4 linked regions of the Saccharomyces cerevisiae S288C genome follow. The protein of the gene in region 4 purifies or fractionates together with the protein of the main gene of each other region. This does not show direct contact. Each region holds a gene or a part of one and is shown on either strand. Other genes may lie near its edges.

What was found.
Region 1: the proteins of PAB1 (region 4) and CBF5 purify together in Saccharomyces cerevisiae (affinity purification with mass spectrometry; 3 studies listed by BioGRID). This does not show direct contact.
Region 2: the proteins of PAB1 (region 4) and NAB3 purify together in Saccharomyces cerevisiae (affinity purification with mass spectrometry; 2 studies listed by BioGRID). This does not show direct contact.
Region 3: the proteins of PAB1 (region 4) and STO1 purify together in Saccharomyces cerevisiae (affinity purification with mass spectrometry; 4 studies listed by BioGRID, with this or other methods). This does not show direct contact.

The regions. Positions count from the first base shown.
Region 1 is NC_001144.5:504,524-508,102, reverse strand, and holds CBF5 (pseudouridine synthase CBF5), read right to left. Parts: upstream 1,970-3,579; coding exon 518-1,969; downstream 1-517. Other genes in the region: RFX1 (Rfx1p), read left to right, coding at 1-306; isocitrate dehydrogenase (NADP(+)) IDP2, read right to left, coding at 2,274-3,512. UniProt on the Saccharomyces cerevisiae protein: Catalytic subunit of H/ACA small nucleolar ribonucleoprotein (H/ACA snoRNP) complex, which catalyzes pseudouridylation of rRNA. This involves the isomerization of uridine such that the ribose is subsequently attached to C5, instead of the normal N1.
Region 2 is NC_001148.4:184,817-189,529, forward strand, and holds NAB3 (Nab3p), read right to left. Parts: upstream 2,910-4,713; coding exon 501-2,909; downstream 1-500. Other genes in the region: COA2 (Coa2p), read right to left, coding at 3,491-3,697; GUP2 (putative O-acyltransferase), read left to right, coding at 4,338-4,713. UniProt on the Saccharomyces cerevisiae protein: May be required for packaging pre-mRNAs into ribonucleoprotein structures amenable to efficient nuclear RNA processing. Binds to poly(A)+ RNA. Appears to act in the maintenance of CLN3 mRNA levels.
Region 3 is NC_001145.3:515,664-520,952, forward strand, and holds STO1 (Sto1p), read left to right. Parts: upstream 1-1,875; coding exon 1,876-1,900; intron 1,901-2,222; coding exon 2,223-4,783; downstream 4,784-5,289. Other genes in the region: EPO1 (Epo1p), read left to right, coding at 1-1,624; DLT1 (Dlt1p), read right to left, coding at 5,098-5,289. UniProt on the Saccharomyces cerevisiae protein: Component of the CBC complex, which binds co-transcriptionally to the 5'-cap of pre-mRNAs and is involved in maturation, export and degradation of nuclear mRNAs.
Region 4 is NC_001137.3:508,547-512,610, reverse strand, and holds PAB1 (polyadenylate-binding protein), read right to left. Parts: upstream 2,239-4,064; coding exon 505-2,238; downstream 1-504. Other genes in the region: chromatin-remodeling ATPase CHD1, read right to left, coding at 2,813-4,064. UniProt on the Saccharomyces cerevisiae protein: Binds the poly(A) tail of mRNA. Appears to be an important mediator of the multiple roles of the poly(A) tail in mRNA biogenesis, stability and translation.

The sequences.
Region 1 (3,579 bases), on a different chromosome or scaffold from region 4:
CAAGTTTTCGTAACAAAGTTCTTAAATTCCTCTATGAGCGTTAGCAATGATCCCTCTGTGTCTATCGAATGCAAGTCCTTAAATGAAATGATTAAAGATTTTTGTTCCTTTATTTCCCTACAAAGCAAATTTTCGTGCTTGAAATTAATTGATTGCAGCACAAGATTCAGGAATGCAATAATCGGCGATATTAGCTTAAAATCAAATGAGAATTTGCTATCATGGTTGTTTCTAAATAATGTCATGGGCCAATTGCTGAACTACTGTTTTGAAGTCATGAAATTCGTCAATGGCCTAAAAGTTTAAAAGTTCTATCATTAGTATATGGGGATATTTAAAAAAGAATATAACGTTGCATATGTAAAAAAAATAAAAGTAAAAGAATACTACAAGTCGTTGATAAAGAAATTTTACGTTATTAATATACACACTAAAAAAAATCTAATCTAATAATAGAAAAAGTTTTTTGAAAAAAAGAAAGCTGTTAAATATATAGGATGAGATGGAGTGATGAGAATCATTTCTTAGATTTCTTAGATTTCTTTTCCTCAGAATCACCGTCTTCAGACTTTCTTTTCTTCTCCTTTTTCTCTTTCTTTTCCTTCTTGTCCTTCTTTTCTTTCTTTTCCTTCTTTTCCTTCTTGTCCTTCTTCTCTTTCTTTTCCTTTTTGCTGTCATCCTCTTTCACTTCTTCCTTCTCAGTTTCGACTTCTTTGATTAAAGAATCTTCTTTAGCTTTCTTAGGCTCTTCTTCAGTTTCCTTAGTTTCCTGAGAGCTAGAAGTTGACTGTTCAGCATTGTCTAATGGAACATATTCTTTTTTCCATTGTTCTGGGGTGTTTTCGTTAACACGGCCGTATTTATCCAATTTGCCGTCTGCCTTCATTTGCTTCTTCTTTTGTGCGACTGGACCCAAACCCCATCTTCTTGGGTATAAATCTCTTTCCATGATACATCTCTTCACACTAGCAACAACACCATGATCACAGGAAGCTAAGTCAACGGTTGACATTTGTGCGATGGCAACGGCAATGGCTTCACCCTTGGTAGTTATCAAGACAATTTCGTCATATAACTCAATACCTTCTTCGTAACGCAATAAACCAGGGATCATCAACTTTGCACCATAACATACTGCATTGACAGCAGAATCCTTCACTACAATTCTCTTGTAACCAACCAATAGAGTTTCTAAAGGTTGAATAATGGATCTCAAGTAAGATTCATCTCTTGTATTGTCGTAAACCCATTGGGCATCCATAACATCATGTAAAGTGACCATGTTGTCATTTTCAGACAGAGCACCGGATCTAACACGACGCAATTCTTGCATGTGACCACCAACACCTAATAGCATACCTAAATGAACACACAAAGTACGCATATAAGTACCAGCTTCACAGGAAGCCCAGAAAACACCTAAGTTTCTCTTGTTATCGAACTCAATCAAGTTTGACTCATAGATAGTACGAACACGTAATTGTCTCTTAACAGCAGAGATTAAAGGAGGTCTTTGGAAAAGCGCACCGGTCAAGTTTTCTAGTGAGCGGCCCAAATCCTTTTCATCCTTCAAAGCATCATGCAATCTGACAATACACACATACTCCTTACCAGCACCTTGTTGAGACTTAACCAACCTGGTAGCTCTGTCAATACAAACAATCAAACAACCTGTAACTTTTGGATCCAATGTACCAGAGTGACCAGTCTTCTCACAACGTAAGATTCTTTTGATCCAAGCTACAACTTCGTGCGATGATGGGTTGGAAGGTTTATCTAGATTAATGACACCAGAGCTGATATATGATTTCAGGTCTCTCTTTAGTGGTGAACTACCAGCTGGGATAGGGGTATAATGACCACTTCTGACTAATAACTTATCAAAATTCTTCAAAAGTAATGGCCATTCACTAGTGTCAGTGGAAGCACCTGCAGCTTCAGGCTTAATAACGAAATCCTCCTTTGACATTGTGTATATCGGTCCTCTGTGTAGGTTGTAACGAACTCCAGATGATAATGAATCTTTAAAAAAAAAAACCAATAAAAAATGTTCTGAAAACTATCTTTACATTATATTTTTCCTAAGCTAAACATCTCATCATTTGAAAATTTTTCAAATTTTTTCAGCATTTTCTTTTTGCGAAGAGGGAAAAGAAGAAAGAAAAATTTTCAGTGAGAACAGAAGATCATATGTTACGAGTAGAAAATACTAAAAGTTTTTCGATAAAAAGGGAATATATAATATAAATAAATCAATCTGTCATTGAGTAAGTTTACAATGCAGCTGCCTCGAACTCTTTTTTCAATCTAGATTCCACCGCGTCAATGAACTCCTCGGTAGTGACATAAGCGGATCTTTCAGACTTACCGAGAATGAGCGCCAAATCTTTAGTCATGATTCCATCTTCTTGCACTGTATTTACCGTAGCGCTTTCCAATATTTGGCCGAACTTAACTACATCTGGAGTATTATCAAGTTTACCCCTTTGAATAATACCTCTAGTCCACGCGAAAATTGATGCAATGGAATTTGTTGACGTCTCCTTTCCTTGCTGATGCTGTCTAAAATGTCTTGTTACTGTACCGTGGGCGGCTTCGCTTTCAAAGGTTTTACCGTCCGGGGTAATCAACACAGATGTCATTAACCCCAAGGAGCCAAATCCTTGTGCAACAATATCTGATTCTACGTCACCGTCGTAATTTTTCATGGCAATTATGTATCCACCTTTAGATTTCAACATTTGGGCCACCATATCATCAATTAAACGGTGCTCGTACCAGATGCCAAGGGATTCAAACTTCTCTTTATAACTTCTAGCATACATGGCTTCGAAAACATCTTTGAATTTACCATCATACTTCTTCAAAATAGTATTCTTAGTAGTGGAATATAATGGTAACTTCCTTTCAATGGCCAATTCAAAGGAGGCCTTCGCAAACCCTTCGATCGAATCTGTAGTGTTGTACATCATCATGGCAACCCCACCATGTTCTGGGTAGTCAAATACCTTCAGATCTACATCATGAGTTCCGCTCTTGGATTTATAAACAAGCCTCAACTCGCCTTCTTCAGGGACTATTACATCGGTAGCTTTGTACTGATCGCCGAATGCGTGTCTCCCAATGATGATGGGCTTCTCCCATTGAGGAACTAGCCTTGGAATTCTAGGGATAATAATAGGTTCTCTGAACACTGTACCACCCAAAATGTTTCTAATAGTACCATTTGGAGATTTCCACATCTTTTTCAAATGAAATTCCTCGACCCTTGCCTCATCGGGTGTAATAGTCGCGCATTTGACAGCTACTCCATACTTTAAAGTCGCGGTGGCAGAATCCACAGTTACTTGATCATTAGTCTGGTCACGATACTCCACGGAAAGATCGTAGTACTTCAAATCAACGTCAAGATAGGGCAAGACTAACTTGTCCCTGATTAAATGCCAGATTATTCTTGTTTGCTCATCGCCGTCCATTTCCACAATGGGGTTAGCTACCTTAATCTTTGTCATTACGATTTTATATATATACGTACGTTACCTTCTTACCTCCTATTCTCGTGCCTGAGCAGCGACTGTA
Region 2 (4,713 bases), on a different chromosome or scaffold from region 4:
AAACTAAAATAAACGACAGGCAGATGACTAAAACAAATCAAACAAGAACCTCTAGGGAAAGGTGTCCTAAGCGCGGAACTTCTTTTCGTTATGGGGTAAATAGAGCGGTACTTAATAATCTGTTTACAAAGCAATTTTACAAAGTTTTGATATAAGAACATTTAACTAAAGAGAAGAAAAAGAAATGAAAAGCCATTCTCTTGGCAGAGGAAACAAATGAAGAGGTGCGTGTAAGTGAAATAAATAGACCAAATAGCATTTGATAAGGAAGAAATAAAAGAAATTTATAACAGGGTAAAGAGTTTTTCGTTCTGAAAGAGATGCAGCAATAGTAAGAATTAAGTCCTAGTCCAATTTGGGAAGGGAAAACGATTAAAGCATAAACCGCTATGTCGAATTTATGCAAACCATATCAATCTACTTTCCTTAAAAATTTTTCGTCCAATTAAAAGAATTCAAGTATAATGTACAAGAAATGGAAAAGATTGAAAAAAGGGAGTCTATTTTTGTAGTTTTGCTAAACTATCTAATAGACTTTGAACATTATTGCCAGCAGGTTGCTGTTGCTGTTGCTGTTGCTGTTGTTGTTGTTGTTGTTGTTGTTGAGGTGGCGGAGGTTGGTGTGACATTGGTGGGGCAGAGGGTTTTGCAGATATATTTTGACCATTGTAATTGGTACTCATAGGAGGGGGAGAGGATGAGTTCATAGAGGAATATCCACCCAACTGTTGTTGCTGTTGTTGAGGAGCCTGGCCTTGCATTGATTGTATTAAACCAACCAATTGCTGCTGAGCATGAGGTTGTTGTTGCTGTTGTTGGGCCATTGAAAGCAAATTCGATACAACGTTAGGTGGAAGGTTTTGAATGGCAGATAATAGTTGTTGCTGGTCCATTGGAGTTTGAGAAGGTGGTTGAGGAGGCGGACCAGCCTGATAACGACCATACCCTTGAGGAATTTGTTGTTGTGGAGGTGGTGGTGGAATAGAAGTCTGGTAGCGACCGTAGCTCTGATTCATTGGAATTGGAGGTTGAGAACCATATCCTTGGTCATGGGATGGTGGTGGCATCCCATAATTACCATATGGCTGTTGCTGTTGTTGTTGTGGAGGAGGCATACTGTAACCCTGGTAATAGTTTGTTTGAGGAGGAGGTCCGACAGCTGGGCCGTTTGGAACAGGAAGAGGAGGAGCGCCATATATGTTTTGCTGATGGCTCATAGCACGGTAATCAGTAGGACGAGAATTATTTCTGTTGTTTTTGATGTTATTAAAAATGGCAACTGCGTCATCAGCGGATATGCTAATATATTCATCAAATTTCGTTTCACCTTGTGAGCCTTTGTAGAAAGTTTGAACATCTACATTGTGTGTTTTATTAACTAAAACAACGCCCCACACCCCATTATATGCGGCATCATTGATAAGCTTTCCCAGTTCCATTCTTGGTTTCAAGAAAATCATATCAGTTTCCAAACCAGTCCCGTCCCTAAACCTGTTGAAAACCTCAATGGCATACGTACGATCTGCGGTTCTTTTAACGAAAATGTTGCAAGAAACGGTGTGTCTTCTGGATTTCTTGTAGCCAGCACCATTGTCGTCATTGTACATGTCACCAGATTCAGTTTGAAATGGTCGTTTTGCGGAAGAAATAAAAGTAGAACTACTGTTTGTACCGTGATCACCATGATCAAATTGAGGACGAGCATTCGAGCTAGAAACTTCCAGGATCAACTTTTTGCCAAAGTTCATTTCTTGAGACTCGCATTCAATTGCATCTCTAACGCTTTGAGGGTTGTCAAACTGAATGAATCCAAAGGCATTTTTGATATTGATTTGCATGATATGACCGTATGGAGAGAAAATCCTAAATAAATCCTCCTTAGAAACGTTCTTTAGCGGCAAATTACCAATGAATAATCTTGACTTCGGAGGAATATTGTGCATCTCGGTGATTTTATTTTCACCGTGCAAATAGGCTGCATAACGGTCGTGTTCTTCTTCGGTAATCGGCTTAGATAAATCCGCCCTAGGAAATCTCATACGTCTTTGGGCATCTGACAATGGAGGTTTTCTTTGATCATTGCTTCTTGCGCCGCTTGTGGCTGAGGCGCTAGCTGTTGTTGAGATAGTACTATCATGAGGAGGTACGGAAAGAGCTGTGTCAGAATTTGAATTTAACATTGCTAAAATCGCAGACATCTTTTCTTCTTGAGGTAAATGTTGAAACTGAGGCAAATTTAGCATGTTACTGTCCATAATGTACTTGACTTGCTTTTGTAAAAGATCGTAATTAACATTTTCCATATTAGTTGGAAAGTGAGTATTATCATTTTCTTCACGAGTTATTTTTTTTATAGCTTCATCTACGTCCTTTTGTTCTTTTTCCAATGTTTCACGGCGAAGTTCGACCTCTTTATCTTTGGTTTTATCCTTTTTGTCTTCCTCATCCTCACCGTCTTCAGCGGCACTATCTGAGCCTACCGAACTGTTGTCGTTGCCTTCTTCTTCTTCTTCTTCTTCTTCTTCTTCATCATCATCGTCGTCATCATCATCATCGTCATCATCCTCTTCTTCCTCTTCTTCCTCTTCATTATCATCATCGTCATCATCATTTCCGCCTTTTTGTTGATGTTCTTCTTCTTCTTCTTCTTCTGTGTTTATTACTTCCCCGTTTTCCTCTCCTTTTTCCTCCTTATCTTCCTCCTCTTCATCGTTCACATCTTCCAGTTCGTGTTGTTCTTCATTTTCCTCCTCCCTTTCGGCTTCTCTTTCTTCCTCTGGGGCGTCAAATTCGATTCCATCGTCTGCGCTTGAGTTATTCATCAATTCATTCTCGTTAGAGTTACTATCGACGGATAGTTCAGGTGAAGGAATATCTTGAACATCACTGTTATGGTTTTCATCTGACATGGCTTGCAGATGGTTATTATATTATGAAAGGACAGTCCGGGAAAAACGTAAGTCAATTATTATATTTTGACCAAAGAAAATCGCTTGTTGCTGTGCAGAATCTAATAAAGATGCTCAAGATAGCTTTTATTAGACCTTCATTTAGAAGTGGCAAAATCAAATGAATTGTTTTTTGTCCTTTGCTTCTTCCGCTTCATTTTCTCTTCAACAATTCAGGGTTACACTCAATCACGTGGGATACCATAATTTATCGTTCTACAAAAAAATGCAAGCACGAACTAGGGCGGTAGTTAGGAAGCGAATAAGAATAGCGCTTTTTCGTTTCAATTTGGAATATTAAAGAGTGATATTATTAATGGTTTTCTTTTTTGGAATGTGATCTATATACATATTTAAATAGTCTCTTTTGTATTTGTGGTGTCATAATGAAACTGCATCACACCAGATGCTTACCCATACAGAAAGTCGATTGATTATGAAACTTGAAGTAGCGAAGATTACGGCACTCGAAAATAAATAAAAAGAGGAAATAAAAGAGATAGAATACAACTTATCAAAAGTTCCAGATAGCCCGTACCTGTTTAAATCTTTTTACTTAAAGCATCCTTCCTCTTTAACTCCTGCTCATGAGCAAGCTGAAGCTTGTGTTGCTGTACAGCTGGTGAATCAGAATCCACTGAATGTGCTGGACATGGCAGCACAGAACCGATGGCCACTGATGCGAATGCAATGAGAAATGTAGAAAAGTATAGGTTATTGACTATTTTGTTTCTAGTGACTGCTCTCATGATATGTGTCTGAATTAAACTAATTGGCCTTCCGTGCCTGTAAATTCAATAAATAAATAGGATGTTAAATTTTCCTAATGTGTCTCGAGGTGCTTATGTTATCGTGCAAGCGCTGAGTTCGAAACGCTGTTTTGATGAATATCCTATATATATCAAAAGTACAAACACGGGGAAAGAGAGCCATCCCATCAAAAAAAATAAAAAAAGAAAACCCTTGCAGAAGGAGAACTGGTGTAGAGGTTTCCGGTCTTAATGGACTTAAGCACGTGACTTTTAAAACCCATGCATCGGTTACTATGGTTACCATTACTTACGATTTTTTTTTTTTCGTTATGAACCCTGTGCCCGAGGGGTTTTCAGGCACATAGATCAAAGTTCTACTCGTTTACCTGTAATCTTGGCGCGTTTAGGTCTCTTTTTTTTTCTTTTTTTTTTCTTCTTTTTTCATTTGTACTGCGTTATAGTTGTTTATGGAAGGTACCAATGGTGAATATGGAAAAAATGAAGTCAAATAGAAGAAGAAAGAGAAGCTAGCTTTGAGGTAGGTACTGTTTTGAGGGTTTTTGGGTGCTTCAAATTTGTCTTCTCAACTACCTTATTATAGGGCTCAAAAATAATTGACGTCATCGCTACAAGTCAGATGTCGATGTTAAGAATCTGGAGTTGCATCGTACATTTCTTTTCCGTGCAGGCACTTGATTCACGAATAAAGCCAGACATTGAATTCAAAAGGCGACAAAGGATATTTATCAATTCATCTAAAGAAGAGAATGGTTCATCTTCTAGTGCCGTTACTGTTACCCGTAACCCTGTGCTCAGCTCTAATAGCCCATCTCCTCCGCTATGGAATACATGGGAATTTAGACTATATTATTTGGCGTTCACCGTAGTAGTTCCTTTCATGATAAAGGCGGCATTGGCTACGAGCTCCGAGTCTAATCCAAACTACTATAAATTCAGCGGACTGCTAGCCCATGGTTGGATTCTGGGCCGCAAAGTGGATAACAGCGATCCTC
Region 3 (5,289 bases), on a different chromosome or scaffold from region 4:
TAATCCATGGTCACCAAATGACAACGATCGTAAAGCTGTGTCCATGAAACAGCCAATCAGTCAATCGTCAATTTCCTCAAAGAATAATTCAGCTTATTCAATACCGAACGTACAAAACAACTCCCTGACTACATTCTCTCCGTCATCTCCTACTGATGCTACAGCAATGCCTAACTCTACAAAACAAGGATCTTCACCACTAAAAAAACAAGTGAACATTGATCAACCTATTGAAAACAAGGGAAAACTGAATGTTTTGCAATTATCCACTCCTCAACAAAACGAGTTAAAGGAAAAAGAAAGGAAGCTAGCTGAAATGGAAAAATCTTTACGTGAGAGAGAAGCACTAGTAGAAGAAAAAGAAAAGGAAAGAGCTGAGAAAAATACTGAAGCAAATGAAGAGGAGGAAATTTCACATGAATCAGACGATTTAAATTTAAGACCTGCGAGTGCGCTAGAGACTGGTTTAAAAGATCTTAAATTGGAAAGTGAAAGTGCAGTCGCCAATAGAGCGTCCTTGTCGACTTTCTCATCCACATTTAGTGATTCTCCCTCCAAGCAAAGAATCATCAATACCAGAACAGGTATGTATAAGCTAGAAAACTCTACTGATATCAATGAATACGTGACCGCACAAGAATTCCCCTCTCCCGGAAAGTATAACTCAAATTCGGATAATGGCGAAATGAATACAACGAACGAGGTCGATTTTGATTTCAATACTAGTAAAAGGGCTTCTTTGTTACAATCCATACCGGAAAGAGATCCCAAAAGAAATGTCTCAGATGCTACCATTAAGCGACGTGAATCCGATGGCAATGGCAGGAGACTAAGTAATGTCAACATATCCATGAACCAGGAAAACATCAACAATGATACTTTTCTATATAAAAAAAATAATCGCGATGGTCATTTATCAGCAGTTTCTCATATGTCCAGCTCTTCCCGTAGATCGTTCATCTCCAATACGCTGCCGTTGAATATTGATTCCGCCTCAGAATCTGATAATTTTGTACCGCATATGGATGGTTCACCCTCCAAAACAAAATCAGCCCCAGTTAGCTACGATAAGGATGGCATGAATGCTTCAGAAGAAGACTTCAGTTTTGATAATACTTTAGCCAAACCGTATGAACCGTTATATGCTAGGAGAGGAGACATAACTTCCGCCGGATCAACTAGTGGAGAAGATAGCTCTCAGCCAAAGATGATAACAATATCTGGTGAGCAATTGAATTTGATAACAGAAAACAAAGAATTAATGAATGAGTTGACACTGGTGTCTACAGAATTAGCAGAATCGATAAAAAGGGAAACTGAATTAGAAGAAAGAATACGGCTGTATGAAACCAATAATTCAGCACCATCTTTTGACGATTCTTCGAGTGTGTCTTTTTCTGACTTTGAAAAGGAACTGAGAAAAAAATCCAGTAAAATTGTGCAATTGATCCAGCAATTAAATGACGAGAGATTAAAGAGATTCATTGCGGAGGAGCAGTTATTACTCCAAGAAAATGGCACCAAACCAAGTTCTATGGAACTAGTAGGAAGAATTGAAAACTTGAATAAACTTATTGATGAGAGAGATTCAGAAATTGAAATGCTTAAAGGACGTTTACAGTAGATGAATGATGTATTTTATTGTATATATCGCTTAGTGCACCAAAATCATACTACGTAAGTATAAAATCACTTTACACGTAGAAGATGCTTTTTCAGATTGTTCTTGAAAAAGTTGAAAAAAATATAATTCACACTCAGCAACAGGTGAAAGTGTATAATGGGTAAAAAAGGAAGGACAGAAGGTATATTGCTAATCAAAACGACTTTGGTATACGCGTTTGGGGCTACAATTGCATTTTAAATATATTTAAGATGTTTAATAGAAAAAGAAGAGGAGGTATGTTTTAAAACCAATGTTTTCCAGAAGTTTCGTTCTAGAGTGTGTATATCAAGACCAATTAGGATGGTATTTCCATTTTTTGTCAGTTAGTACGGTGTGACAGAAAAGTGTACTTTTGTGGCACAGAGAAGTGGAGAAACGGTACACGTAGAATACATAACGGCAAGTAACCTCTCTTATTTTACTCTCCATCTTTACTTTGTTTTACATTCCTAGGATTATTAGGTTAGCTTGGTTTTACAAAAACTCAATTATTCAGTTTCATTCAAATTACTAACATACCCAACTTTGACTACCTTGCATATGATTTTACCGTTAGACTTCGATGAAGATGAAAATTACCGTGATTTTAGGCCTCGCATGCCTAAAAGACAGAGAATCCCACCTGTTGTACAACTGTGTAAAGAAATGATGCCCGATATTCGCACTATTGGTGAATCTGTTAAAGCTTTTGAAGATGATATCAAATTCTTGAGTGAAGCTATAATGAATGAGTATGGCCATGAGGACTACTTTAATAATGCTTTACTGAGCACTTTAAACGCTGTTGTTGTGGAGCAACCACAGAAGCAAGCTGCTATCGCTCTCTTAACCATGGTTGTTAATTCGAAAAATAATGTTGCCGGAAAGAGTATTATCAATTACTTCTTCGAAGAATTACAAAAATGGTGCAAGCAAACATATAATGATGAATTCAAGAGTACGTCAAATGAAACTGGGCCATGGAACAAGATCAAGTTAATCCTGAGATTTTTATCCATTCTATCGCCCATGTTTTTAGTTGATGAACTAATCAATATCTACAAGAGCTTATTTGAATTGAGTATCGAATTAAACAATCTGGATCCAGGTAACAGAGTTCCTTTATCTGAAGCAATTTACACCAATACATTATTAAATATCCCGTATTTGTTCTTTTTTAATAGGAATAATGACGGTTTGAGGACAAAAGTGGAGGAGTTACTTGCATACGTTGAACAAAACTATCTAGTTAAAACAACGGATATAAACCTATTAAGAGAATACAATGGTGAACCTCCATATGAAATGGTAGAACTTGTCCGAGTCGTATTACCAAACGTCAAGAAGGCGCTAATCAATAACTTGGAACAGCTGAATGAATTATTTCCTGATTGGAATCATTTATTAACTCCCCAAACCGGTGATGAAGGGTTCAATGACGCTTTAACCCTTCCATCAGTAGATGATCTAAAGTCTTTCGTGCGCTTGAATAAAAACTTTGGTTCAGTTGATAGCATGTGGAAGACACCAAGGTATGCTTTTCATGTTTACTTGCCAAACTCCGCTGGTAATTTCGAAACAGTTGTACCAATCAGCACTTATGCTGGTCAATTATTCAACGATATCATTATTGATCTGGTGGAAAGTTTAGAATTCAATAGAAAGGAAGTAGCTAGACAAGTGATAACTTTGGATCTTTTTTTCAAAGCAGGTATATTTACAGAACCTGGTGAATCTATTGCCCAATTAATTGCCACTTATGAAGAGAACCCATTGGCTCCTACATTTAAGATAGAAGATTTGGCTATTGAAACCATTTTGGGACTTATTTTTAAATTACCTAGTGTTTCCCAGCCTTTTGCATACTTTTACACTTTATTGGTGGATATTTGTCAAAATTCTCCAAAAGCAATTGCTCCTGTCTTTGGTAGAGCCTTTAGGTTTTTTTATAGTCATTTGGATTCATTAGATTTTGAACTAAAATTAAGATATTTGGACTGGTTTTCAATTCAAATGAGCAACTTTAATTTTTCTTGGAAGTGGAATGAATGGGAAGACGATTCGATCAAATTTGGCAAGTATTTTTATAATCCAAAGGTAAATTTTGCTAAAAATTTGATTCAAAAAGAACTACGATTGACCTCTAACTTTTCAGAAGTAGAGGACAGCCTACCACAAGAATTCACGAAATATTTGGATACTTCTTACATTCCAAGAGATCAACTGATTAACTACTATCAATCATTATTCACCGGTTATACGGTAGAAGAAGATTCCGTTAGAAAAAATGATCTATATTTTAGACAAGAAGGTGTACCTATGGAAAACACAGTCCGTAAAATTTTAGATTATACCCACAAAGCAAACAATTCTAGGGAAGTTACTGAATTAGAAAGTATTCTAGGTGAGTTAAAGAATGAGTATGGTTCCATAATTTCCGACTTTAACAGATTTGTTATCATATTGTTAGTCCAGGCCGTTACAGACTCTGGTAGTAGATCTTTATCACATGCTAATAAATATATTAATGATTTAAAAGAAGATCTCAAAACCATATTTGCGAAGATTGAATTGGATATCGAGACAAAAGAGTATATCATAATTGAAGCCGTCCTAACATTTTGGAACGCCAACCCTCAGACAGGTTTCTTAGTAGCAGATGCATTCAAATATGCAGGTTTACTTACTTCCAGAACCATTTTTACATTTATATTTAACGAAACTGGTTTGAAGAATAATGGTTTGATTGAAGCTACAGCAATTGAAGCGGTCTTTAGAAATTTATCTCAACAAATCTCGGAAGAGAACGAAAGTGGAAATAATTTTGAGTTCGTTTTCGAAAGATTATGTACCATCGCCAACAGTACTATAGACTTACTAGATGTCAATGCTGATGAAGATATTGAGATACCTAAAGTCAACGGGGAAATGGACATCGACGATATTGAAGATGATAAACTGGATTTGAAATGGAAATATTTTACAGTGATTGGGTTTATTAAAAGTATATTAAGAAGGTATTCCCACGAATATCGTGAGTTAGCAGACAAATTCATTGCCAACATTGATAACGCTATTCCACACGAATCCACTAGGAGAACAATTTCGAATTGGATTCAAGAAACAAAGGAAGTTTAAAAAGATTCGGAGGATGGACTACATTCGTTATCACTCCGCTTTTTAATTTTTAATCAATGTTACATACCTAGCGTAATTTTCCTATATATAAAATATCAGCTTTATATAAATATATTATTGAAACTGTACCTATAATAATAAATTTAAAATTAAGTAAATACAAATGCTTCAAAATTTGTTAGTATTGTTTTCTTCAATCATCTTTACTTAATTGTCATCGCAATAATTAAATTAATATTTTATTGTTGTTGCGTATATAATACAACCTGAATGGTATGCTACACTATGTTACACTATGCTATTGATCAGAGTTTCTAATGACGAATTACACTTCTATAACTATCCGCTTTGGAAAGTTTGAGACGAAGGGCGTTACAATCAGAATCCGTATCCAAAGGATGTTCTTCAGAATTAGTCAGATCTACACCTGATGAAACATGCCTTGCGACAGTACTTATGCTACTTTCTCTAACCAAATGTGTAGGCGGTTCGGGAAAGTAATGCAT
Region 4 (4,064 bases):
CCCTAAAAATCCACTTAAAACTGTCTGAGTTGCGTATTACGATGACCTTCGGTTATTAAAGGTCAAATTTCATAAAGTAAAAGCTAAGTGAGACTTTGCTCTGTGAAATTTTATCAGCTTTGTACCTCCAGTTAGTTGAATGCGGTGATGAATAGCAAGGTACCCTCACTTGATTTGTCAATTTTTTGTAAATTAGTATTTTCCTGGAACCTGTTGGTCTTTTTTCCGTGCTATTTTGTTTATTTTCCGCGAAAACTAACATTCTGCCGTTAATAATGAGACCTCAAAAAAACGCAACTAATAAACTCAGTAATGAAGTCTAATAATAGTAAAATGATACTTCTCTTGACAGTTAAAAACAAAAAACGTTTGCATTTTGTCAATAAGAGCGAGTATTTAGGTTACAAAGGATAATAACTAGTATTTAAGACAAAAAAAAAAGGGAAGGGAGAAAAAAAAGATGATAAGTTTGTTGAGTAGGGAAGTAGGTGATTACATAGAGCATTAAGCTTGCTCAGTTTGTTGTTCTTGCTCCTTTTTGAAAGACTCATAGGCAGCAGAAGCTTCTTTGTAGTGTTGTTCGAACAATTCATCACTTTCCAACAATGGGAAGACCTCTTGAGGTGGCAAATCCAAAATCATACCAGTAATTTTACCAGCTGCTTCTTCATTTGAAGTCTTAGCAGAAACCTTCTTGTATAATTGTTCACCCAAAGCTTGTCTTTGCTTTTGTTGATAAAATTGGTTGTTATCGTTGGCATTTCTTGGGAAACCACCTTGTGGGGGGACGCCGTAAACCGGACCATTTCTAAATTGAGGTGGCATGCCGTTCTTTGGCATACCGCCCATTGGGTTCATTTGTTGTGGGTTTGGACCGTTGAATGGAACACCTCTTGGTGGCATAACACCATAGAACATTGGAGGCATGAATTGACCTGGCATACCGGCAGCGGCGGCGGCAGCGGCAGCAGTAGCTTGCTGGTATCTCATTTGATTTCTGGCTTGGATTTGTTGAGCCAATTGAGAACGTCTTACGTCTTTTCTTTGAGCAATGGCAACGTATAATGGCTTACCAGCAACAATTTGTTGGTTCTTTTCTGTAATGGCCTTAGTAGCTTCCTCTGGAGTTGAGAAACAAACAAAACCAAAACCCTTAGACTTACCGTTTTCGGTTCTCATAACCTTTGCAGAAGTGATAGTACCATATGGAGCAAATTCTTCTTCCAACTTTTCGTCATCAACGCTGTCATCTAAGTTCTTAACAAACAAATTAACACCTTGGTACTTGGCCATTTTTTCCAATCTGTAAGCTTCGTATTGCTTCTTCAAGACATGCATACGTTCATTCTTCTTTTGGGCACGACCAACGTATAACTTTTCTCCATTTAGTTCAGAGTCATTCAAAGCTTCAACAGCTTTCACAGCGTCTTCATGCTTTTCGTAGTTAACAAACCCGAAACCCTTCAATTTTCCATCAGCATCCTTTTCCAAAGAGGCAGAAACAATTGGACCAAATTTGGCAAACAATTCTTGGAATTGTTCGTCAGTAGTTTCGGAGTTGATGTTTTTCACATAAAGGTTAGTGTAATGTGCCTTAGTCTCTTCCAATTGAGAGTCACGTTCCTTTCTGGACAAGTGAGGAGCAACATAAATTTCTTGACCGTTCAACAGCATACCATTCAAAGCATCAATAGCTTCCTTGGCAGCACCTTCTTCTTCGAAGTGAACAAACCCAAAACCCTTGGATTTTCCGTTTTCGTCGGTGGCAATCTTGCTGGACAAGATGTCACCAAACACAGAGAAAGTGTCATACAAAGCCTTGTTGTCAATATCAGGGTGCAAGTTCTTGATAAAGATGTTACCAGAACCCTTCTTTCTCAATGATGGGTCACGTTGAGACCACATAATACGGCATAATCTACCCTTGATTGGAGTGTAGTTCAATTGCTCAATTGCTTTTCTGCCGGCTTCATGGTCGTTAAAGTTAACATAAGCATAGCCCAAAGAGGTCTTAGTGATGGCATCACGACAGACACGAATGGAGGAGACTGAACCGATTGGAGAGAAGATATCATATAAGTGGGCTTCGGAAACAGAAGGTTCTAAGTCACCAACATATAATGATGCAGAAGAGTTTTCAACAGATTGGCTTTCTGAACCAGTGGCGGCTTGCTTTTGGTCATCTTGAATATTCAAGTTTTCCAATTGTTCAGCTGTCTTATCAGTAATATCAGCCATTTTATTTTTATTGGTTTTTTAGTTTTTTTTGGATTTTTTTTTTTGAGTTTTTATTGAATAAAAAGCCAGATATTAGGTGGTGGTACCAGGGCCTGCTCTATGCTTCAAACGGTTATTAAGTAAAAATGTTACTTCGTAGCTCACTGTCCTAAAAATACAAAATCAAAACTAAAGAATTTTACACAAGAAAGAAGAGATATAAAATACAAGATGACACTTTCTATTAAGTAAAACAGAAACCTCTTTCCTTGGAACTGGAGCGAAAGAGAACAATTGTCCCAGAACTTGCGATGGTGATGGCAAAAAGCGCAAAAAAAATTTTCTTTGTAAAAAGGAAAGAGAAAAAAAAAAAGAAATAATCTTCGATTAACAGTTTTCGTTAAACATGATTGATCTATCTGCTTTGTGGCTTCATACAGTATGACCTCTTATATGGTCATAGTAGTAACTAATTAAGCATTATTACTTTACGGTGCCCTATAGTACACACACTTACACGCAAATATATATACATAAATACGTTTATAGTTATGGGGGGAAGGAACAATGGAAAATGTGGTGAAGAAAAATTGTTTCACTTCTTTTGAGACTCTGTTATCTTGTCGTACATTGCCATCAGCTTTGTACTCTTAACGTCGGCAGGCCAAAAGTTGGCACTGTAAGACCAAAGGTGCTTGCGATATTTTTCTGGGCTTGCCTTTCTCGATGAGCCCTTTTGCGATTCGATATGATTACCAATCGTAGTTAATTCGGTCTTCAAAATTTTGGCCCATTCCTTACGATCAAGACTTTTGCCGCCTCTTCTAAGTCGCTTCAAAGAAGTACGTATTGCACTCATTGTGTGTCGACAGTCTTCTTCATCCATGCTGTCATATTCTTTTTCGTGAGCGCTGCCGCTACTGGGGTTGCTTGATTGCCTTGTACCATTATCTCTGGAAACCTTGGACTTTAATGGGGGCGTGGGGCTGTTTGGAGACAATCTCGTGTTATTTATTAAGGCGGCAGGACCTTTTGGGAGGGCTTTCATACGTTTGCTTGGCGGGCCATTTGCAGGCTCAGAACTTGTAATTTCTGGAGTCATGGATTTGCTGTGATTAGCAGGTTTTCTTTGTCTCTTTTTGGAAGGACCAGTAGGGAGTTTTTTCGAGCCTATGTCAGCACTGGGACTCTTTGTATTTAGGCCTCCTCTTAAGAAGGATAATAGATAATCAACTCTTCTGCCCAAGTGAATGGCACCAGGTACTTTTTTTGAAGAACCCGTTATTCCCTTTCCTTTCTTTGAGGGTGTTGGTGTTGTATCAGAGGAGCTTGCCGACTTTTTTGCTACCGGATTGTGAACTTCATTCAAGAATATTTTATCAGTAATGCCTAGAAATGGATCGTCTCTTATTTGTGTCCAGGAACCATATCCATATTTGAAAACACCAATCAATAGCTTCTCATCTTCCTCTTTCGTCCAATTAGATGACCAATTCTGTACAGGCTTAGGTGTGTTGTTGCCTAGGCTAAACTTTAATGGATCATCTTTGTAGTTTGAATTTATCAAGTTCTTCAAGTACTTTAAATCCTCCACTCTACTTAGTAAAGATTCGGCGTTTAAAGATTTAACACCTTTAAAGTTGAAAAGGACGGCTTTCTTTTCTCTTTTTTTTAAAGATAATCTAGTCAACGGATTATCCTTTGGTTGGTTCTCTGCTTTTATTTCACCGCTTTTTAGCTTTGCTCTATAGGCGGTAGCATGCTTCTCAAGTTTCTCCAAGATTTCTTTTCTATTTTTCTCTTCCTCGTGTACACAGTCTTTAGCTGCTTCCATCATTTCATCGTAA